Drosophila melanogaster: one gene and its partners. The protein of the gene in region 3 interacts with the protein of the main gene of each other region in a pairwise test. Each region holds a gene or a part of one and is shown on either strand. Other genes may lie near its edges.

Region 1 (7,542 bases), on a different chromosome or scaffold from region 3:
GGGAGCCACCACGGCGGCACAGAGCTCCGTTCCCGTCAGTCGCAGCTGGAATGTGTCGACATAGTTACGTTTTCGCGAGTGCCAAGGCTGAAAGATGGGCGCTGCCGCCGACTTCTTGGACTCCTCGCCCGGCACATGCAGCTCTGGATAGACATTCTTTAGATACCAGGCAAAGTCCCTGCACTGCAGACGCTCCCTAAGCTTGAGGCGATCGCTAATGTCTCCATAATCATAGGTCTTGGGCACCTTTTCGTGCTTGAGATAGTAATCCTTGTACTGATCCATCCAGACGTGCGCCAAACGCAGTGAGTTCTTCAACATGGTGTTGGCTCCATCTGGCGAAGTGTACGGACGTCGTTTGCGGAATATGTGACCGACACGGGAGCAGGGAACGATCTTAATGGCGCCACCGCATTGCCAGGCTCTGAAGGAGATCTCTATATTCTCGCCACCCCATATATCCATGGCCATGTCGTACTCGCCCAGATGCTGGAAGTACTTCCTGTTCACGGCAAACAATCCGCCGGCCATGGTGGGCGAACGGAAGGGTCCGCGAAAATCCTCCGGCACCTTGAGCGTGCCCTCGGGCAGATTCTCCCAGCGGAAGTGCAGGCCCCAGTTGAATCCTCCGCGCACCAGTGGACTGGGCGTGTACTCAAAGGTATCAGCGTTGATCAGGTCGATGACGGGCACGGCCAGAGTGGCGTTCTCCGACTTGATGAGGCGCAGCAGCGGCTCCAGCCACTGCTGATTGACCTCGATATGCGAGTCGAGGAAGACGAGCACATCGCCCACGGCCTCGCGTGCACCAATGACCCGGGAACGAATGAGACCCTCGCGCTGCTCGTTTTTGATGTACCGCAGGTTGTCGTACTTCAGGCGGGCACGCAGATCCCCGTGCAAATGGAATTCCAATTCTGGAAGATCGCTGTGATCATCCACCAGAATAATCTCGCGCAGCAGGTAGCTGGGCGTGCGTTCCAGCACGGTCTTAATCGAGCGCATCAGCGTCATCTTGTGCTCGTTGTAGAAGCACATGACTATGGAGGCCTGGGGCAGATTTTCCGCTTCCGTGGTCTCCTGGCGATCGCACACCTTGTGCCGAGTGTCTGGGATCGCCCGGAAGAGTCCTATGTTATTGGACACCAGCGCGTTGAAGGCGTGATGCTTGTAGCCAATGTCGCGTATGTACTTGTCCTGCTTGTTGCGCACCACACCCAACAGTTCCAATTGCTCCGGATCACTGGGCGGCTTGGGTGCCGCCGGCGATTCGCCAGTGGTAATGCTGGCATTTGGAGTGCATCCGACGGTGACCCTGGCCTGGTAGCTCAGCTCGGCCCGTGGCGTTGCGTTCCCTTCGTCGATCCTCCATCCTGCCGAGCGGATGGAGCTGCGCAGGCTGTGCGAGTAGAAAAGCAGCGCCAGCAGCCAGACGACCGCCACCAGAAGGGTGCCCAGGCCGCAGGATTTGCACAGGAGGCGCTTGATTTGCATCATGGATCGAGATTAGATTACGTTGTGCGCTTCCCTGGCTACTTAAGCAGCTACTTTGTCACTTTCATGATGATCGGAATAAATTAAATTTAATTTGCATACCATGGCATTCGCACAAAAGCGCGCACACAGCGATGCCACCGAAGATGCTAGCTCAGAGTTTTTCCCGCTAAATTTCAAGGAAATCGAAAATAGTGTAGAATAGTGTAGTGTAGAAAACAAAAATTGGACTGATAACCAGTTAAAATGATTAATTAGACAACCAGCAACAAACAAAAGAACAGTATACGAAAAATCGTTGTTTGACTTACAAACTTTATTGTTCATAGTCATAATCAGCTGATTTCCAACCCAACGTTAGCATCACTAAATAAAACAAGAATGAAGTTATGCGCAAGTCAAAGTTGAGGGTATTCCACTAAATGGATTAAAAAAGCTTTTTACAAAATATTTAAGTAAATCGTAAGTACCCAAATATTTATAAAATTTAAATCTATTAAATGGAAATCCGGTAAATTATAAAATTATCCAGCGATTTGGTGTAGAATTAAATATAAACGAATGGTTAAATATGCAAATTAAAATTTAAATTATTTGAAAGAGAAATTCATTTCTATTGGTAGGGGTTTTATAAATACCATTTTATTTATTTCCTATTGCATTATGCCATTAATACATCGTAAATATTCATATAACATTGATCGTTTCCTCCAATTCTTGCACGCGACAACAACAAATACTCAACAAAAAATTAGGGAGATACAAAAATTCATACATATATATATTATATACAGGGATTCATCAGCCAACAAAAACATGATCTATATCTCAAACGAATTCATCTATAAATTGAGACCGAAGGATGGTGTTAGTGCGATAAACTTTTCGAAATTTCATGGTCAAAACTTTAGTTTGCGCCAACAAACATGTTTAATTTTCTAGTATTTATGCTTAACCGATACAATAAATGTTGCAATGCTTGCGTCTTATTAAGCGAAAGGACTTTATATTTTCTTTTTCTGTTTTTTTTTTTTTTTGTGGTTGCTGTCGCTGTTGTTGGCTCACACATTGATGCTTAATCGAATTATTTAACTACATACATTGGTTTTTGCTTGGGCATCGGTAGATTACGAGTCGGCTAAAAATAAAAGTTGATTTGTATAACTAGGTTTTGCGTAAAGTTAGGTTCCATCATTCATTTAGCACGAGCACTGATCCTTGGCGCCCGTAGCCTCGCTACTCAGCGAAGTTCGCGACGGCTGCGATGGCCTGTGCTGAACTCCGGACTCGGAGGCGTTCAGATCGAGCCGACCCTCCTGGATGTTCTGGTAAATCTTGCGTGCGGTCTCCAGAAAAGCCTCCTCCACATTCTGGCCACTGTTTGGGCGATAAAAAAAAAGATAATCAGTATATGCTCAAACACTATGCTTCCAGTTGAAACTCACGTCATAGCGCTCGCTTCGAGAAACATTAGGCCGTTCTCGTCGGCAAACTCCTTGGCCTCCTCGTAGGTAACCTCCCGAGTGCTCTCCAGATCCGATTTGTTGCCAATGAGAAAGATCACAGTGCTGGGATTGGTGAGATTGCGAGTGTCGGTAAGCCAGCTGCTCAGGTGATTGTACGTGGAGCTGGAATGGTCAAGTTGTAAAGCAATTTCTCAAATAGTAGCTTGCTTCGCTTACCGCCTGGTAATATCGTAGACCATCAGCGCACCAGCTGCTCCACGGTAATAGGAGCGTGTCACTGCCCTGAATCGCTCCTGACCCGCTGTGTCCCAGATCTGTAGCTTGATCTTTTTGTCGTCCACCTCAATGATGCGTGTGCCGAACTCCACGCCAATGGTGTGAGGACAATTGGCCATGACTGCAGGACGGCAAGTAGAGATTAGTTCTTATTACATACATTATTACTCAGCACAGTCTACTCACATTTCTTCTCGGTGAACTGGTGGAGCAGGCAGGACTTGCCCACGCCCATGTCACCAATGATGATGTATTTAAAGATATAGTTGTAGTTGTATGGCGCTGCAGTCATGTTGGGACCTAAAAAGCAAGCGAAATTATTATTATTATTACATTGCAGAGTCATTGAGTATATAGAATATTTCACACATTTTTCAATAAAGTAGTCTATGCGTTCGTGCAGTTTGTTCACCACGCTGCGCACTTTGCTCATCTTGACACCGGCAGAAATGAACTCTGACCCAATCAAACAGTGTTAACTACTACTATCAGCTCCTCATTTGAATGTCCAACCGTAGTCGCTGCTTATCAACAAACCGAGGCGCTGCATTAATTTGTTCTGCGTCGACACCACATTTTGTTCCCCTTTCTCGAACTGGCCCCGATATTTCTTTTTAAGGCCTGCTTGTGTTTGAACAGCCGACCGGGTTTGTTTGCCTGCCAACTGAAGCCAAAAAAAAAAAAAAATAAGAAAGAGGCAAGCTTCAAGAGCGGCGGGTATATCCACTTCATGCCACTTGACTTTGTCCATTCGCAGTATCCGTGTCGTTCGAAAGCCTTTGATTTGTCCGCAGTTAAGGGGCGCTGAAGAGAGTGAATTGAACCCTTCGCCCAAGCTGAAAGCGATTTGGATCAAGGTCGCCGAGCAAGCAATCGTGGGAATTCAATTATTAAGAGCAGTACGCGCGAAGTTATTCATCAAGTTAGTTTGTATTTAGGGTAATCATCCTGCCTTACTTCATATGAATGAATTTCATACAAAAGAATGTGACTTAGCAGCATATAGTGTGAAAAGATGAGTATCAATTATGGATTCTTAATTGCTCATACTTAAATCATCAAATACAGTTATAATCGCTTATCATTGCTTGTCAAAGTGACAAGTGCATATCAGTTTAATAGGCTCTATGACGGGCAGTTTAGACTAACTAAGTAGTAGGTCTCGGTCTCGAGTCTTATCAGTCAAGCGCCAAAGGCCAAACATCAGTGGAGCAATCAATGGAGGCGAAGTACATATGTACTTATTTGCAAAATGTGTTGAATGGAAGTGGATCATCATTGCCCCTCATAAAAGGAACACAGCGGCGCACCCATAACAGGGAAAATAACGAAAGGAGTATGAGAAATATATATTTATACACAGACGAAGTATGTATACCCTTTGGCAAAAAATCTTAAATATAAATATACTTTTATAAATGTGCGCTTTATATTCCATTTCTAAGATATAACTGAATACGATTTGATATTTGAGTATCTACAAATAAGCGCACATCCATTCAAACTAATAAAATAAGCCCGCATTGAAGACAACAACGCAATAAGACACAACAAAATGAAAAAGAAATATATTAATAACTGATAACAACTACTAAGAAAACTTCTGATTTATTATAATTTTTTATTCATGCTCGCCTACATTTTGAAAAAACCTTGTTTGCATAATTCATATAATAAATTAATATATAAGCACAGGTAAATATTTCTATGATAACTCATACACTCATATAATAATCCATCTTATAAAAACTAATTTAGAGTATTTATTTATAGCGTATACTAAACAAACTCCTCACCTACCGATTTTTAAGTAGAGTGGCGGCCGTTTTTGCCCCACCATCCCCTAAAAATTCAAAAAATAAATTATACACCATAAAAACCTGAAACATCCCCAGAATTAATCGATTTTTGTAAATCATATTTATTTTCTTAACTTGGTCACAAAACAGTAACTCCCCATTGCAGGGTATCAAAGCAATCAGGGGGTGTATACAACAACAATGGAGTGCTGCTGCCTAACGACAAAAACAAGAGAGAGCGAGAGCACAAGGGAAAGTTGCGGAGCACCCACAGCTGCACTGCGTCACCCCTTCGCAGACGGTTTTCCATTTCGCATAATTTAATCAGTGTTTAATTGGCTTAAGGAAAAACAACGAATATTACTCACCGTTTTAGATCACTTTAGTTTTAGTCCACCTTAGGGAGCGAACGGAATGTGTAACGTAGGGCGGTTACGCAGAGCGGGGGGTACTGTGTGTATGTGTGCGTATTGTTGTTTGGCTGTGCGGAATTCGATTGCAATTTTTGGGCAATTTGGCGATGCAAAATGCAGTTCACTTTCGTGCTAGCACGCACACTGGCTTCGCGGGGTTGCGGGGCTGCACCGAGAGGCAATTATTGCGATTATTTTCAATTGGTAGGTCGATGCAAATCAGTAGTCTTTTTTCACTGCTTTTGCGTTCTCTTGTTTTGCTTGGTTTCCTGCGGTCACACTGAGCAATTGGCAAGCCAAGGGTCACACTGCCGCGATAGGTGCTTATCGCAGCCAGATGCTATCGACAATCGTGTCTATCGATAGAGGGCGCACGTGTTGCGGACTTCGTTTGTTTATGTTTTAATTTTGAGCAAAAATCGTCCCTCAAGATGTTCGTAAACGAAGTTAACGATGTGAAGATCTACAACCTGAGCGCCGGCAAGTCGGTGCCAGATGTGAGTAGCAAGATAAACCCGTTGCCAAGCAGTTAACTCATGAGTATCTCCTTCACAGTGGCTGACGGATCGGCGAAAGCGGTCACAGCTCATGAAAAAAGTGGACTCCCGGAGACAGATCGAGCTCATCCAGGACTTCGATATGCCCGGCGTCTGCACCAGCATCCGCATGAGTCCCGACCAACAGTACATCCTGGCCACCGGCACTTACAAGCCGCGCGTCAAGTGCTTCGAGGTGTCCAACCTGTCTATCAAATTCGAGCGCTGCTTCGACGCCGAGGTGACCACCTTTGAGGTGATTAGCGACGACTACAGCAAGATGGTGTTCCTGCAATGCGATCGCTATGTGGAGATCCATGCGGCCCACGGGCGGCACTACAGACTAAGGATACCGCGCTTTGGACGCGACATGAAGTACCACAAGCCCAGCTGCGACATGTTCATCGTGGGAGTGGGCAGGGTAAGAACTGAGGTCTATCTAATGTCTAGTTTATTCTAAAGATTTGATTTCAGGACATTTTCCGACTCAATTTGGAGCGCGGTCAGTTCCTGCAACCCTTTGAAACGGATGGCAGCTGCCTGAACGCCTGTGAAGTGAATCCAGAGCACCATCTTCTGGTAGCCGGTACCAAAGAAGGCACCGTAGAAGCCTGGGATCCACGTACCAAGCAACGATGTTCAACTTTGGATGTAGCCATGAAGTTGCCGGGCGTCAAGGAGTTTCCATCGGTCACGGCCCTCAAATTCCGGAACGGCTTGCACATGGGAGTGGGAACTGCTTCGGGACACGTGCTGATCTACGACATTCGCGCCAAGCAACCGTTGCTGGTGAAGAATCATCTGAATCGACTGCCCATCAAGCGTCTGGCCTTTAATCCGGCTCAGAATGCCGTCTATAGTTTGGACGAGGCTACACTGAAGCTGTGGGACGAGCAGACAGGCAAGCAGATCGCCTACGTTGAGTCGACTTCGTCATTCAACGATTTTTGCACCATTCCCGACACGGGCATGTTCTTCGTAGCCCAGGAGGATGTTAAGATGATGACCTATTATGTGCCTGCAATGGGTCCAGCACCCCGATGGTGCTCGTTCTTGGATAACCTCACCGAGGAGATCGAATCGGAGGTCGTGGAGAATGTGTACGATGACTATCAGTTCGTCACAGCGAAGGAGCTGGCTGAATTGGGAATGGAGCATCTCGTTGGCAGCAATCTTCTTAAGGGTTATATGCACGGGTAAGTTTGAAAAAGATTGGAAGAGGTAAAGATCTTGTCTAATACCTAAAAATTCTACAGATACTTTATGGACGCAAGATTGTACAACAAAGCCAAGGCAGTTGTGGAACCCTTCGCCTTCGACCGCTTCCGCAAAGATAAGATCCGCCAAGAAATCGAAAGTGAGCGCAAGTCCCGCCTGCAAATCGAATCCAAGCTGCCCAAAGTCAACAAAGAGTTGGCTCTCAAGATTATGGACGAGCAAGCCAATCCTTCCAACAGTGCCAAGCAGCGAAATGTGCCCAGCCTGCTGGAGGACTCGCGTTTCAAGGCCATGTTTGAGAATGCCGACTTTGAAGTTAACAAGTCTGCCGAGGAGTATC
Region 2 (8,362 bases), on a different chromosome or scaffold from region 3:
GTTTGCGGCGCCCTCATGCGCGATCCCGACTGGCTGATCGAGGAAAACCGTCTAGAGAGTCGATCCCAAAGCGTCACCACCTTCTCGAACTCCAGTGTCTGCCTGGAGGAAATAAAAAAGCTGCTGGACACCGGCATCACAAAGGAGGCTGTGCTAGACTCGTTGGTGACCAAGAACAACACGGAGGCCAACCAGCAGATTGACGATCCGTTGGACTCCGCTCTCAAGCGCTACCGCAGCGAGATCTTCCTGCCCACCTTCCTGAGCACTCAGGAGCTTGACAGCATCTGCGAGGTTAAGAGCCTGAGCCGACGCTCCCTACGCCACAAGGAGGGTGAGGAGGCGCCGTCACGAGAGAACCTGCTGTCCATGTCCTCAGGAGCAGGTGCCTATCCCCCATCGACGGCCGTTATAGGCTCGCCAGATGATACCCTAATGGGCGGAATAGCTCACGAGGCGGCAGAGGAAGCAAAGAAGGCCTATCTGGCCTCCATCGAGACGCTGTCTCCATCGGAAAAGCGCTCCACTGGTAGGACTCCCAATGGCTCGCTCCGCTCCTCGGACGAAGGCTACCTTACGCAGAAGCACGCCAGCTCCCGGTACTCGCTTAACGAAAACATCTTCATGGCCAAGCATACAACACCATCAATCTCCAACCTAAAGGTGAATGGCCTGCGACACAATTCGGTGGACATCTTGAGCGAGGACATGCACTGCTACTACTCGAAGGACGAGACCTTCGCATTGCTGGAGCCGAGCAGGCGCATCAGGCCCACCGTCATCGCCATTCCGGAACAGGAGCAGTCGGTGAACAGCGAGCTGGCCACCCGTCGCGCACGCCTGGACAGCATCACGGGAATCCGCCGGCTGTCGCGCTCCAAGAAGCCCAGCCACCACCGATCGAACCTCCGCCGCAACATCTCGATCCGGAACTCCAACTTCCTTAAGGATATGCGCATTCACCGCAACTCGATCCACTACCGCGGGGCCATGCTGAACACGCACCGCTACCGGCTGCGCGCCTCCTCCTGTCCCAACATCTACCGCAACTCGATGACCACCATCGCCAAAGAGGAGGAAGATGTGAGTAGACCGTGACCCTTGGTCCGCCCTTATCAGCCGGTCGCTTGGCGACAGCCCCAGCTGGTTAATGCTCAAAGCTGTTTATCAGCTGCCTCTCTGTTTGGTCGCCTAGTTGGACCACATATACATACTTTTTAGGGCTGATAAGGTGACCGCTCCGATTTCCGTTCTGCCTACGCAAGAAACCGAGCCAGTTATTGGTACCTTGAAAGATGATAATCTCTTGATAGTTTAGTTAACAACTCACAACTATTATTATTTTGTAATGAATGTCTTGACTAAACACACTTACTCGATTTTTGCGATAGTCCTTTAAATCGTTTTAAAAGTACATTTTGTATTAATTAATTTTCAAGTAGAGATAAAAGCAGTGGTAAACAATCAAAATCAAAAATAATCGTATCCTCAGTGTTGCTTAGATTTAATGGAACAATAATAATTAAATATCCTTTCTCTTTCGATAGACCTGGTATGACAACTTTGTGGACACCATGAAGTCCATCTTTGACTTTTCACTCTTTCTGGACATGAAGTTCGCCCTCTTCAATCTCTCTACATTGTTTTTGTTCATTTGGTGAGTACTCTTTGGTGATATTAATAAAAAAAAAAAAAAAACAATTTCATTGGCAAAGGCCCCAAGCTGTGCATGAACTCAAGGCGCAATAAATGCTAAAATTAATAGACAAATGTGCCAAGCCGTCGCGTGAATTTGTTTATTTTGCCAGAAGACGTCGCAAACAATTTTGGCAGCTGTTCGAAAACGAAAAGCGTTGCACAACAATATTGTTGGCCAACAGCGGTGAAATTCCAAGCACAACGTTATCGATCAGCTCAGTTAGTAGGCCCCCTTAGCTGTTCAAGATCATGGTTTATCTTACCCCACGACTGCGGAGTCCGAGTGCCCTAATAGATCGATAAGAAAACTAGTTGAAATCAATGCTAACTCCTCAACATTGACCAGATAAGGCTCCTCTGCTCAATCAGCGGCTAATCTACTTTTTGGCACGCTCCACAGGTTCATTATCCCCTATCTGTACCTTCCCGATTACATGAAGCAATACAAGTACGACGTGAGCCAGAGTGCCGAGTTGATTTCGGATGTCGGCATTGCCCAAACGGTGGGCATGATAGGACTTGGCTATCTGGGGGATCTGTCCTGGATGAACATCAATATATGCTACTCGCTGTGCATGCTGGGTGAGTGCTTGGACTATGTCACATTTTCAATTTATCAATTGAATTTATTATTTATTATATTTTTCAGTGTGCGGAGCGTCTGTGTTCTTCATGCCCCTGCTGATTACCAACTACATGGGCCTGATGGTCATGTGCGTTATTTTCGGATTTACGTTCGCCAGCTCCTTCTCGTTTACGCCCAGCATTCTGGTCAGTATTGTGGATCTGGACGATTTCACGTGTGCCTACGGTCTGGTGCTGCTGGTTCAGGGAGTTGGAATGATCGCAGGACCCCCTATTGCAGGCGTCATATACGAGTATACGGGCAGGTGAGTTGGGCGGCATTCTACAGTCTGTGCACAGGTTATCTGACCACCCGTTGTCCTCTTTCAGATGGGATGACACCTTCTATTATGCTGGAATATTTATCGCACTCTCTGGTGTCTGTTCGTATCTGATCGAGTTCTGTGAAAAGAAAGCACCTAAGGAGAGTGATAGTGATGTCTTAGAGACTAAAAAAGCTCAACTTTTACACTAGGTTACTTACATTGCACTGTTGAACGCCGCAAGTAGAAGGCAACTGGAGGTACTACAAATCCGAACTGTAGCATAATAATGGACTAGCATTAAATGTTAACGAGTTTCTTATGTCAAATGGTGTTGCAGCCATAAAATCAGAGCAGAATTGTAACTGAAACTAAGCCTATTCCTAAGCTCTAGCCTGTAAGACTATACTTGACTTGACTAATCGTAGCTAAGTATCAATATACACCTAACATATACTTACCGCACTAGGGCAATTACTAACCGCATCTTTGTCTAGACAAACTGTTCAATTTCAATCAATATCAATGCAGTGCATCACTGCCAGGTGCAAACGGGTCCCTCAATTGTCTTCTTTACAAAATTTAGAAAAATAGTTTTAATTGCCTTACATTTCGTACGAATATTAATTAAAGGGAATACAATAAACAACAATCTATGTAACGTATGCAATAACAAGTGACCATTTTCAATCAATCTAAAACTCACAATAAAATCTTTGGAGCATTTGTTTGTACATCAAACGTCACGGATCCGAATAGTTTCCAATTAAAAAAAACCAACTGAGCAAATTAGGGTATAAAAAATAGTTAATGTTGAAGCGAAAAACTTGTTTTTGCAGTTTGGCAAACTTTTTCTTAGACAAAACACAGATAAGATTCAGAAAATAAGAAACAAACCTATGTAATATCTTAAAAGTTCAAGTATTATTAAAAAAAAATACAAAAATATTTCTAAATAGTATATTTCAGTAGTAAAAAAATGTTTTAACATGTAAGCACATTTAAAAAAATTAAGTAAATGCGACACTATATCCCTATAGCCGACATAGAAAGTGGAAATTGTTAATTCCGAACACTTTAGGAAATATGTACATAAACAAAAAAGGATTCACCATTTAATAATATTTACAAGACATTAATTCAACAATTATCTACCGAAAGCCTCTTACTAAATAAAAAGGGTTAAAACTACACTAATGCGTAATTATTTGTCTGACCTCTTTTCATTTAAAAGTTGAGTTGTTTACAACTTTAAATGCCTCATTAAATTTGCCTTAGTGTTTTACTTCTCATCTAGACACCAAAAAACTAATTAGTCGTTAACTATCACTTGATTAAACGCTAATGAACCCAAGGTAAGTACCGATTTAATTTATATAATTATATTAATAGTAAGTATGTATATTTATTATTCCGCATTGTGTTGGGCAAATACAAATATTATAAATAATTTGATTTACGTTTACAGTTGTATCTTTCGTTTTGTCTTAGCAATCGCCGTTAATTAAATATATAAACTTCGTAAAATACTAAATTGATCATTGAATCGCAGCATTTCGTGTTACCACTGGTTAATGCATGTTGATTGTGTAAATTATATAACCCCATTTCGGCCCTCACGTTTTGTATATTTTGTTAAAGTACTTTTTTTCTAGTGTATGTATAAAGACTAAGCGGATTGCACAACAAAATAGACAAAGCAAATGCGTTGAGAAGGAAACGTAAACATATTAATATATTTAATTATGTATGTGTGTATAGAGAAGCGGAGCAGATACCCATTGCAAAAGGGGGCGTGGCGCAGCGTTGCGAAGCTGGACCTCACTGAAATCGAATCACAATGAAAATTCACACAGTTTGATTTTTGTTCATATATTACACATCATTTTGTCAAAATCCCAATGTATAACTATCGATTTTACACGAAGTAACTAGCAAACTAACTTCAATATACACAAAATACATGCATAAAACATTTAAAAATGTTTCAATAAACTTTATAAAATTTAGAAATCACGCACGACATTCACGTACACAAATGTGGTTTGTTTTGGTTTATTTCTGGTTACTTCTTCCTTTTGGTTTTTTTTGGTAAAATAAAACGTAGCTGAACAAGGAGATGTGTTTCTTGTAACTGTCTGATCTTAATGGTTTTAACATTTAGCTTAGTGTCCAATTGCTAGATTAGTGGTAGCTATGTTTACGTGGTTAGTTACGGTTGAGATAGAAAACAAGAAATCTGTTCCTTCAACTACCTTCTATTAGTTAGTCACTAAAGTAGCTTTTACAGAAGCGGCTGCGCCTATCCCAGAATTGCAATCGGGCATCTGCGGTTTACTCCTAGCAGCAGCCACTGTTTGCTGCTCCAGCTGCTCCTCCGGCTCCTGGGAGCGACGGGTTTGTGGGGGAGTGCTGTTGGCCGATCTTAATGCCGTTTGCCTAGTAACGAGATAATAATGTAGTGGCAAGAAGTTTCTAAGTTAAATGTATCCTTCTTACCTCATTGTTGATGTCGAAGACACCTTCCTGGATCTTCTCGTAAATCTCTTTGGCCGTATTTATGAACGCCTCCTCTACGTTGGCAGCTGTGCGCGCAGAAGTCTCCATGAAGACCAGTCCGTGCTCGCGGGCGAAGGCCTCGCCCTCCTCTTTCTTCACCTCACGCCGCGAATCCAAATCGCTCTTGTTGCCTATCAGCATAATGACCATGTTCGAGTTCGAGTGCTGACGCGCATCCTCCAGCCAGGTGGTCAGGTGGTTGAAGGTCTCCCGTCGCGTGATGTCGTACACCAGCAAGGCGCCAGCAGCTCCGCGGTAATAAGAGCGTGTGATAGATCTATTCAAGAAATATTTTGCGTCACAATACAGTTATATAAATGACAGTGCTTATATTATTTAATTATTAGTAACCCATTAAATTTCTGTCTGACGACTTCTATTTAATTTTAAGTAAAGTATAAAAAATTTATATCACAAAAAATTAAAAATGATAGAATTAAAACTTTTTTAAATAAACATCTATCAACAATGTGCCGAAATGAAGCAAATAAAATTTTTTGAATACAAATTATTAAGCCTTTTTACTAAAGGCTCTATATATATATATTATTATTATTTTGGATCATTAAGTAAGAATTTTATTCAAATTATTTTATTTAATATAAAAAACGAGCCGAATTATTATCCGCCTTGGACTTGGGGTTTTGGATACGAAATTTGCAAAAATTTATTCAGTTCAATTTTGGAAGTAATCTGAGCTTTCACTTATCCCTTCTTAAGTATTAACACTAAATGAACAGAAGTGGGTACCTGAAAGCCTCCTGCCCAGCCGTGTCCCAGATTTGAAGCTTGATCTGCTTGCCGTCGATGGTGATCATGCGTGCTCCGAACTCCACGCCAATGGTCAGGTCGTGCACCGGCTGGAATCGCTTGTCCGTGAACTGGAGCAGCAGACAGGACTTGCCCACGCCTGCGGAAACGGAAAAGGGTTAGTGGGCGAGCGGGGAAAAGGTGGGACAGGCTGGAAAATGCCAACAGCTGTTGGACATCCCGAAAAGCAGAGTGCTGATAAGCCCGTGGCTCTTTGGGGCGGAATCCCTCAATTACTGGGGGTGGTTGGGTGAGTCAGCAGCAGGGTTTATGTGTGGGCTGCTCCCCGCGCACCACTAACTCTGAGAGCAGCAAACGCCTGTATGCGTTGTTATGGTATTATTGATTTTTCCTTCGGCCCACCGACTCCAGGAATATTTTCCTGCCGACGCAATTTTGATCTCACGGTATCAATTTTTCACTTGAGACCACCTGAAACCCCCATTTTTTGATTTTCGGGTACGACCCCTACGCCTGCGATGCCCTTTGTTTTGTTGTGTTGTTTGCAATTACAGATTGTTTCCCTGACAATGGCCAACTTTTCACTGGCCATTCCGTTTCAAAGGAAGTCGCAGCTTGCACTCACCTGTGTCTCCGATAATGATGTATTTGAACAAGTACGCGTAGGACATGTTTTAAGCTGACGGGGGTTACGGTAAGCTAGTTTTTAGAAAGTACGATCTCGTAATGCCACAGATAATACGCAATTCTTGTACGTTTTCCAATCTGTTCGTATTTATGATGACTGGCTAGCGACAGTGTGGCCACTTTGTGGCCAGGGCTGGCGGAAATACCGAAATACCGCAAGGCTGCAATCGCCCTATCGATAACGATGCGCACTGCCGCTGGCCAATCGATAGGTATATGTATGTATGTAGAATTTGTCAGAAATTTTCTCGCACAAAGCAAAGTGTTTTGGAGGATAAACGCCAATTAATTGTCAAGCGATGTGCCAGCTCCTGTAGAATACACTCAGCATACTACGGTGCAGGGATCCCACATCCGGAGACTCCCGCGGGGCAGGGACCAGGCTAGCATTCAGTTTCTGCCAGTGATTTTCTCATCAAGGCGTAGGCACAGACGTTGTGGATCATCGCGTCTTCGAGCGGGTGAAACATGAAGATGGCTGACGGCTCGACCATATTGCGTAGGAACCGGCCAGGCACAAAATCCAAGGTGAGCGATGACATGGCGTCCGAACAACGATCCCGGCCCGGCCCGTCTGACCCGTTTTCCGTTTCGCCTTTCAGGACTTCTGTCGCTGGCCCGACGAGCCCCTGGAGGAGATGGACAGCACGCTGGCGGTGCAGCAGTACATACAGCAGCTGATTAAGCGCGACCCGAGCAACGTGGAACTCATACTGACCATGCCCGAAGCCCAGGATGAGGGCGTGTGGAAGTACGAGCACCTGCGCCAGTTCTGCATGGAGCTGAACGGCCTGGCAGTGCGGCTGCAGAAGGAGTGCTCGCCGTCGACGTGCACCCAGATGACAGCCACTGACCAGTGGATATTCCTGTGCGCCGCGCACAAGACGCCCAAGGAATGTCCGGCCATTGACTACACACGCCACACGCTGGACGGTGCCGCCTGTCTGCTAAACAGCAACAAGTACTTCCCTAGCAGGTATGCAGGCTTAGCGACATGGTTGAACTAGCCACATAATAAGCAAAGTGTCTCTCCCAGGGTGTCCATCAAGGAGTCGTCGGTAACCAAGCTGGGCTCCGTATGTCGGCGGGTGTATCGCATCTTCTCGCACGCCTACTTTCACCATCGTCGCATTTTCGACGAATTCGAGGCCGAGACGTATCTGTGCCACCGTTTCACGCATTTCGTCACAAAATATAATCTGATGTCGAAGGAGAATCTGATCGTGCCCATCAACGTGGGTGAAAACGCGGCCCCTGGCGAAAGCGAGGCTTAGGAGCCCGCCCAGATTAGTCAGACTCGCATGAAACACTCATTCAACATACATCTATTTATATTTACCAATAGCTTGCAAGTTGGGTTGGCTCACCCTGACAGGGAAACGATTCCACGCGGACCCGACTCTAATGCAGATCTTGTATGTAGTTTAGATGTCAGATACACATAGAGCTACATAACGATAACTAAGTAACAAGGGCAGACCCCCTCAAACCCGCTCGCCCCATCTGATCCTAAGTCAGCAATTATTTCGCAAGTTATATTACGATTATGTTTAACTCCTTATTTTAATAAATTATATGTAGGCACACGACCTTCTCGTGGCTGATTCCACGTCAAATCCCCGTAAACTAAACTAAATTCCCTTGACTACTGGCAGCCAAAACACCAACACAGCTGTACGTGACTAAAACGTGAACTTTACTATACAAAATTACTATATACACAACAGAAATTGCAATAAAAGAAGTACATACATAAACAC
Region 3 (7,376 bases):
ATTGACTGATCAGGCAACGAGGGAACTCGAACTTGTTCGCAATGAGATAAATACGTTTAAGACTCTTATTGAGGAAAAGGAAAGAAGACATGTTTCCCTAAGTGATGAACTAACTCAAATGACGGAGAGATTGAGCGAGCTCGCTGATATCAACGAAAGTTATATCAATGAGTTGACTGAAACAAAATTGAAGCACTCCCAGGAAATAAAAGATCAAGCAGATGCCTACGAGGTTGGTCTGAAAAATACTAAATTCATATTTTATTGTATCTTGATTATTTATTCTCCTTGACAGATTGTTGTTCAAGAGTTAAAAGAGAGCTTGAACAAGGCTTCAGTTGATTTTACTCAGCTAAAAAGCAACAGTGAGAAGCTACACAAAGAAACCCTTCTGCAGGTCTCCGAACTGCAGGAAAAACTTATAGAAATGGTGTCCCATCGCAGCAATCAGGAAGAGCTAATAAAGCGTCTTGGTAATGAAATTCAAGAAAAAACTCATAATTTTGAAGAAGAACTCAAAAGGCAACAGGAGCAGCTTGCTAATCAAATGCAGATGAAGGCCACTGAAGTTGAGAGCGAAAATAAGCGAAACGCTGTTGAAATACAAAAACTTAAATCTGAACTCGAAGAAAGGAATAAAGCTTTTAAGGCTCAACAGGATAAATTGGAATATTTGATTAGTGATCATGATACGCTAAAGAGCGCTATTATCAATCTTCAGGCTGAAAAGAAGGAAATCGAGAGTGAATTATCCACGGCCAAAGTTAAATTTAGCGAGGAATTACAGTCTCAGAAAGATAACCTAATGGTAAGACTTATAAATTCTTTTTCATTAACCTTTTTTCTACAAAATGATTTATTATTTTTATATAGAAAAAGGTATCCGAATTGGAGCTTGAAATTAAAAGAAAAGAAACCGAATTGATTGAACTTGAGCGTGAAAAGAACGTAAGTCTATCGGACTCATTATATTTCATGTTATATATTTAAAATTGCCCAACAGAATGAAATGGCTGTGCTACAATTTAAAATGAATCGAATTAACTGCCTGATCGACCAACCAGTGACCACAATTAAACAGCTAAAAGATTCCAAAGGGCCAACCAGAACTGAGAGCATTCCTACTAAGGTGCAACCGGAAAATACAGACGAATTTTCAAGCACTGCCAGAAAGCGTAATGCTCGTCGTCAAAAAATTACCACATATTCCTCCGACTTTGATAGCGGCGATGATATACCAGTGAGTATTTGTTAATTGCACCTATAATCGAAATTAAATTATTGAACTTTTATTACAGATCGTGGGCAACTCTTTAAGCGGCAAACGTGCCAAATTATGTGCGCCCATCAAGCCACAAAATAATATTGATATGTTCGACATGTTGAAGAATTCTAAATAACTAAGCAGTACAACGAACATACAGACAACATTATCAATTCTTACACTTTGTTTTTAGTAAAATGGAAGAATATTGAGCTTAGAAATTCATTCAGATCCATCATCATTTAAACATCTGTACTTCTTTGAAAACTTGTCTGAAACTGGCAAGCTATTTTTAAGAACATGATTACTTTATGTTATTTAATCCCATTTTGTATCTAATTGTTAAATTAAAACTCATATCTTGAAGTATCTTGTTCAAATAGATCCAATCTATTTGATTATAGTTTTTGTAATAAAAACATTACATGTACTTTGTTGAAACACTTTAATTAATAACACACTTTTGTCCTCATTTCTTTAAAGGACACCAAACAGATTTTGAAATCATACCAAAAGTAAAAACTGGTAAAAACAAAACGTAAAATGATCGATACTAAACTATGTTTTGATGATATTTATCAGGCGGTCGACGTCAGCAGCATTCACGACTCCGTCCGCCTTAATTCCAGATTCCTCCATTGCCTTCCTGGTGCCACTGCCCACGGCTATCAGCTTGCGATCCTTAAGCGAAACGTTGTAGTTCCCAAAGAACTCCAAGGAGCTGCGGACACTGGAGGGTCCGAAGAACACAATCGTTTCCATTCGCTTGAATTTGAGGGCGTGCCGCATCTGATTGACGAAATCCGGATGCGACCGACTCTCGTACACTTCGCAGGCATCCACCCGGAATCCCTGGGCGACCAAACGGAGGCGCAGTGTCTGACCCACGCCATTGCCGCAGGGCATGAGCAGTGGCAGATCCCTCTTGGGTCCAAACGTCTCCACGATCAGATCGCACAGATTGTTTGCATTCACGGCATGATCGCCCAGAGTCGGAAGATTCTGGAATGTTATCCAGGCGGCGCTGTGCGTGTTCTTGCCTAGGGAATAATTGTGTAACGCACGCCAGCAACTAGGAAGTGGTGTCTTTCCTAGTGCCTCGTTTACAGCTTGGACACAGCGCGGGGATGCAAATATAATCCCGGCATATTTGTGCGGCTCATGCAACTTGGCTTGCAATTGCTTCAGATTCTTGAACACAAAATGCGAGGGAGTAATGAAGATGGGATCCAGGTTATGGCTGCGCAACGCCGAACCATAGAAATCATCGGAGGACGGAACCTTCAGCAGAATAACCGGCTGCTTGTTGCGATCTCCCATGATTCTAACTAAATTTTGCTGGACTTAACTAGAGAATGGACAATTTGATATTCGTGTTTTGCGTTTGATTTATAGAATAGTTCGAATAGAAAGGGCATAGAATAGATAATGCCTGAAAATTATTGCCGCGCCTATCGAGAGTCGGGTTTTAAAAATAGTTCATCACATTGAAGCCAACTATTATTAGGTGGCTCTAATCCAACCAAACACGAATGCAGGCTACCGAACTTTCAGTTGCACTTTGAAAAAACTTCTCAATAATTTCGGGAATGTTATCACAAGCATTTGCAACGCAATCATTTATAATTTTGTACATTTATATGGAAAAACAAGTGAGTTGAGAACACTAACCAGGCAATAGTAAAAGTAGAAAGTACAACAATTAATCTTAAATCCGTTTACACAGCTCCCATCTGGAGAATGGGTGTAAATAGCTTGTAGGCCTTCTCGATGAACTGCACGGCAGATAGCATTTCGGAAAAGAATGTGCTGACCCGGCCTTTTGATTCCTCCGTTTCTGACTTGCCGCTCAGAACGGCGGCGAAGCGGTGGCTAAGTCCTTGAAGGTGTCCATTGAACTGCTGGCAGAGATTGACGACGCCATCCACTTCGTTGGCGGTGCTGTGATGTGGCTTCACCAGCAACAGCTCGGCGATTTTGTGCAGCTTACACATCTCGAGGGCGCACGCTTCACTCAGCGCGTGGATGCTCTTAGCATAGGCTTGCTCCAGATCGGCGGCAGTTGCTTCCTCTGAGGTCAACCAGCTGAGGGACTGCGTCCAGTGACTGTACAAAAGATTTGGGTTTATGGTATGTTTAAATAATATTAGTTTCCGACAACTTACTTGGCTATGTCGTCAAACTGAATGCCCAGCTCGGCGTCCTTGATTGTGGCCGCCAATCGCTCGCTCAGTTCCTCCGCCTCGTAGTCACCTTCACTCTCCACATCCAGATCCTCCAGTTCGATCAGTTCCTTCACCTCGTTTATCGTTTCCTGCAACTCTGCACGGGCATTGCCACTAACCGCATCGAGTAGGGTGTCCAGTTTGAGGCGTGACTCCTTGGAAAGGATCTCCAGGGCCTCGAAGTGCACCAGGCCGCAGTAATTTTCGAAAAGGATTTCGAAACGCAGCTGCGCCTTCTGTCTTTTCAGCTGTAGCTGTTGCAGGGATTGCTCCATTTGGTCGGCCTCCTTCTTTGCCTCCAGCAACACGGCACTCAAATTAGGCGAGTTGGCCTCCAGACCGAGCAGTTTCCTCTTGTTCATCAGCTTGGGATCGTTGTCCTGCAGGATGGTCATGGTCTTCTTGCCAATGCCCTCGAGTGTATCCAGTCCGGTGTTGAGAACCTTGGAGCCCAGATTGGTGACAAAGTCCAAGCCAAAGGCGGCCGAAGATTCTTTTTCATCGTCGACATTTTCCTCTGGCGGCGCTTTAGCAGCCTTTTCCGCCTTTTCAGCCACATTAATGCGAGCCAGCTCCTCGGGATCGGGCACTCCGATGATTTGATTAAGCCCCTGGTTGACTTGGGTGGTTATCGTGCCCAATCCCTCCGTGGCGGTGGTTAGCACGGAGCTCAGTTTACCGCCCCACAGACCCCAGGACGAGGATGTGGCGGATGCTGTTGCTGGAGCAGAAATTCTGGGAGTTTCCAGCTTTTCCTGATTTTCCGCCGTTCCTTTTGCGTCGTTTCTGCTCGAGACTTTCTCCTGTGGCTGCTGTTCCTTCTCCACGTGAACGAACTTGTCATCGTCATCGCCCCAATCGTCCCAGTTGTCGTCCTCGTCACTTTGGGCCCAGTCGTTACCGCCGTCCTCCTCCTTTTTTGGATTTTTTGCCATTATTTGTTTATTTTTGCTCCACGTAGATTTTTAGGATTTGAGTCAGAGCTGTCAACTCAGTGCAGACTTAACAGCTGTTACACGCCAACCTGCCAACTCGCTGCACTGTCAGAATTGGCGCGCATATTTAAATATTATATAGGAATATAAATATTTTTCAAACTGTGCTTAAGAAATGTTTATTGTTAGGTATAAATGCTAGCTACTCTATTTGCCTTTGATTGATTTGAATTAAATGAATGATTGTATGAATTAAATTAATGACACTTATATAATAATTATAACTAATTATAGTTCGTAATATTTGAATATCTAAAAGAAGAATTTAAGTATGGCTGTGGGACTTAAAAGTAGCTAGGACAGTCTAGGTATCTCGGACGTCGGAGGAGTTAAGAAATCGGGAACACTAAGTATACAACTTTAGTTAATACTAAATTTCATCAAACCGTGTGCTATTTTTCTTTAGCAGAATCGCACGAGTTCTGCTTTATGTCAAAGTGCTTTTGGTGAACTTTCTGGCTTGCCGACATTGTCCCAATTCTAACTGGGCTCATAAATTAGAAAATCACACAAGCACGCATACAAATGCTCATTCTTCAGGCCAGAAACCGAAAAGTTTTGCTAGCTAAGCTAACCAGCATATAAATTTGACAGCAACGCTGCAGCAGCGCAAAATTAACAAGCCAACACCATTTTCGCACACACACACACACGCACACCCACCTTTTCCATAAAGAAGGAATTTTCATAAACTTGCAGCACAATTTCAGGCAGCCGCTGCCACAGACTTTTACCGAATGAAGCAACCACACGAATATTTCGTCAAGCCGGCAAATTTATCTTACGCAGAAACGGCAAGAAAGCTGCTTGAGCTCCATATCCTCCATCTCCATCTCTTCGGTGATATGAGTAATTTTTTAATTAAAATCCCTAAAAAAGGTAGCTTTGCCATACCCAAAAGCCAAAACCGCTAAAATGTTAGTTAAGAACTAAAACACCTCCGTTTGCCTCAGTCTCTTACGGCCAACTTGCCTTAAAGTCGCCCATTTAAGCAACCTTCCTTTCTTTGGGGCCAGTAGTAATTGCATGTTCTGTGTCTTGTCTGGCCAAAAATTAAATGTAAATTTGCCAGCAGATCGGTTTACATGTGCGGCAGTCGAGACAAATGTGTATTGTCAGTTTCTGGTTAAGCTGAAGGGGGTAATGGGATATTTTGGACCAGGGTCATAAGTTAAAGTACTACTCAGAGTGCACTTTCCATATCAATAAGCATATTTTTTAATTTGTCGACAATGAACGCTTTCAGATGTATTAATTAGTGTTTTTAAACAACTATATTCCTCTATGTCACACACCACAAGAAGCCTTAGACATTGCCCTTTGATCTTGCCCTTGCCAACATCCTTTTGGTTAAAACATTTAGCCTAGCTGAAGTACCAAAAAAGTATCTTTGAAAACCCATGGTGCAAACCAAAATACACCCACACAATGTATTGGCAACACAGAATTAGACTAGAAAATTGGTTTAAACTATCGGGCAAACAAGAGGAAAGTGGGCCAGGTTGACTGGAGCATCCGCAGTTGACAATATTGATGAAGCTGCCTGGCTAAAACGCACACTCACATCATCCTTGGCTGCCATCTTTGCCATGGCACTAATATCACGGAGAGGAGCTACTATGTTGTGCACCCATCCACTTTTTGCCAGGACAACAATGTTATTGATACCTCCGCCCAAAAACCCCGGACAAACAAGAGAACCCTTTTGGGCAAGTTCCCTCGAGCATATTGTCTCAGTGTCTGCTCCTCGGTGTCTCTTCAAATTTATGCCCATCGACTTGATGTCTCTTTGTGAAGAGATTGCCGATGACAATAAACCAAACTTCCAGATGTTTATTAACATGTTTCTCTGTCAATATATCTGCATACATACATACATATATATTGGCCCATCTGTAAATATACGCACAAGTCTGTATATGTATGTTTGTATATCCAATGCCAAATTGACGATGCTGATGAGGCGGCTGAAGGGACGGGATGGTGATGGAATCCGGACCCGGAACACATATCTCTCTGGTGGCCTACGACGAGTATCGGTTTACAAGTGGAAAAATTCCTTTAGGCCAAAGTGTGCATTAAGAAGATTGTTTTACTATTGTTGTAAGACACCCAAAACGTACACATTTATCTATACTTATAAATACCAACACAGCCACGCAGTTACTTTAACTACATGAAAACTGAATGCACTGAGAGAAATAAAGGCATTGAAGGAGGATATTTCCGAGACTATTATTTTCTTTCTAAAAACTAAAGTTCATTAAATTTTTACTTTAAATCTTTATTCAAATCACTGAAACCAGCAAGAATCTTATTTTTTTGCAGTGTACTTTCACGAAACTTGCCCACAGGCGAATGCTTCTTGTTCTGCTCGTCCTTCGACCAGCTTCCTGTCAGTTTTCCCATCTTCTCTCTTCGCCCTCTAGAACAGCTTCCTTGCCGTTGTTATTCCACTCAACAAAAGGATTCAAATTTCATTAAATCTCATACAAAAGTATCAAAATGCCATTGTTGTCATGGCACTCACACCCACACCCACACCCACACACACTCAGGCACACTTCGAAGACTGCATTTGCCAGGACCTTCACGCACACACAACGAAGGCGATGAGGAGTGGAAGGCTTGACGTCTTTAGCTTTCACTTTGGGCCTTTCATTCGATTTACGTTTGAAGTTACCCCATATGATGTGCCCATGTGGCAGGGACGATGGGGAAGGGACTGTTTGCACTGTTTGCCGAGTGGGCGTGTCCTGATCGCTATCAGTTGTAATGGAAAACTTAATAGACAGTCGTCGAATATAAACTGCCGAAGGACTTTTCAGGACCCGACACTCGGCAGCAAAACGTTAATCGCAGCAATTGCACTCGCAATTGATTGCCATCCCT

The links.
Region 1: the proteins of CG9590 (region 3) and Rab14 interact in a two-hybrid assay, tested with the Drosophila melanogaster proteins (one study listed by BioGRID).
Region 2: the proteins of CG9590 (region 3) and Rab2 interact in a two-hybrid assay, tested with the Drosophila melanogaster proteins (one study listed by BioGRID).

What each region holds. Positions count from the first base shown.
Region 1 is NT_033779.5:14,353,335-14,360,876, reverse strand, and holds Rab14 (Rab14), read right to left. Parts: upstream 3,837-7,542; 5' UTR 3,670-3,836; coding exon 3,606-3,669; intron 3,597-3,605; exon of another isoform or gene 3,537-3,596; coding exon 3,423-3,536; intron 3,358-3,422; coding exon 3,177-3,357; intron 3,123-3,176; coding exon 2,940-3,122; intron 2,872-2,939; coding exon 2,694-2,871; 3' UTR 2,113-2,693; downstream 1-2,112. Other genes in the region: Pgant35A (polypeptide N-acetylgalactosaminyltransferase 35A), read right to left, coding at 1-1,497; l(2)34Fd (lethal (2) 34Fd), read left to right, coding at 5,880-5,945, 6,004-6,405, 6,459-7,180, 7,241-7,542.
Region 2 is NT_033778.4:6,695,108-6,703,469, reverse strand, and holds Rab2 (Rab2), read right to left. Parts: upstream 6,732-8,362; 5' UTR 6,587-6,731; coding exon 6,541-6,586; intron 6,055-6,540; coding exon 5,895-6,054; intron 5,422-5,894; coding exon 5,085-5,421; intron 5,025-5,084; coding exon 4,926-5,024; 3' UTR 4,001-4,925; downstream 1-4,000. Other genes in the region: chk (chaski), read left to right, coding at 1-1,083, 1,548-1,657, 2,099-2,280, 2,348-2,588, 2,653-2,797; Mob4 (MOB kinase activator 4), read left to right, coding at 7,071-7,130, 7,205-7,578, 7,627-7,876. UniProt on the Drosophila melanogaster protein: May be involved in bidirectional endoplasmic reticulum (ER) to Golgi trafficking. Together with Rab7 involved in promoting fusion of autophagosomes and endosomes with lysosomes, probably through recruitment of the HOPS tethering complex.
Region 3 is NT_033777.3:15,783,812-15,791,187, reverse strand, and holds CG9590 (uncharacterized protein), read right to left. Parts: upstream 4,486-7,376; 5' UTR 4,425-4,485; coding exon 3,430-4,424; intron 3,371-3,429; coding exon 2,983-3,370; 3' UTR 2,849-2,982; downstream 1-2,848. Other genes in the region: c(3)G (crossover suppressor on 3 of gowen), read left to right, coding at 1-232, 296-808, 874-948, 1,004-1,240, 1,299-1,400; Uros2 (uroporphyrinogen III synthase 2), read right to left, coding at 1,823-2,584.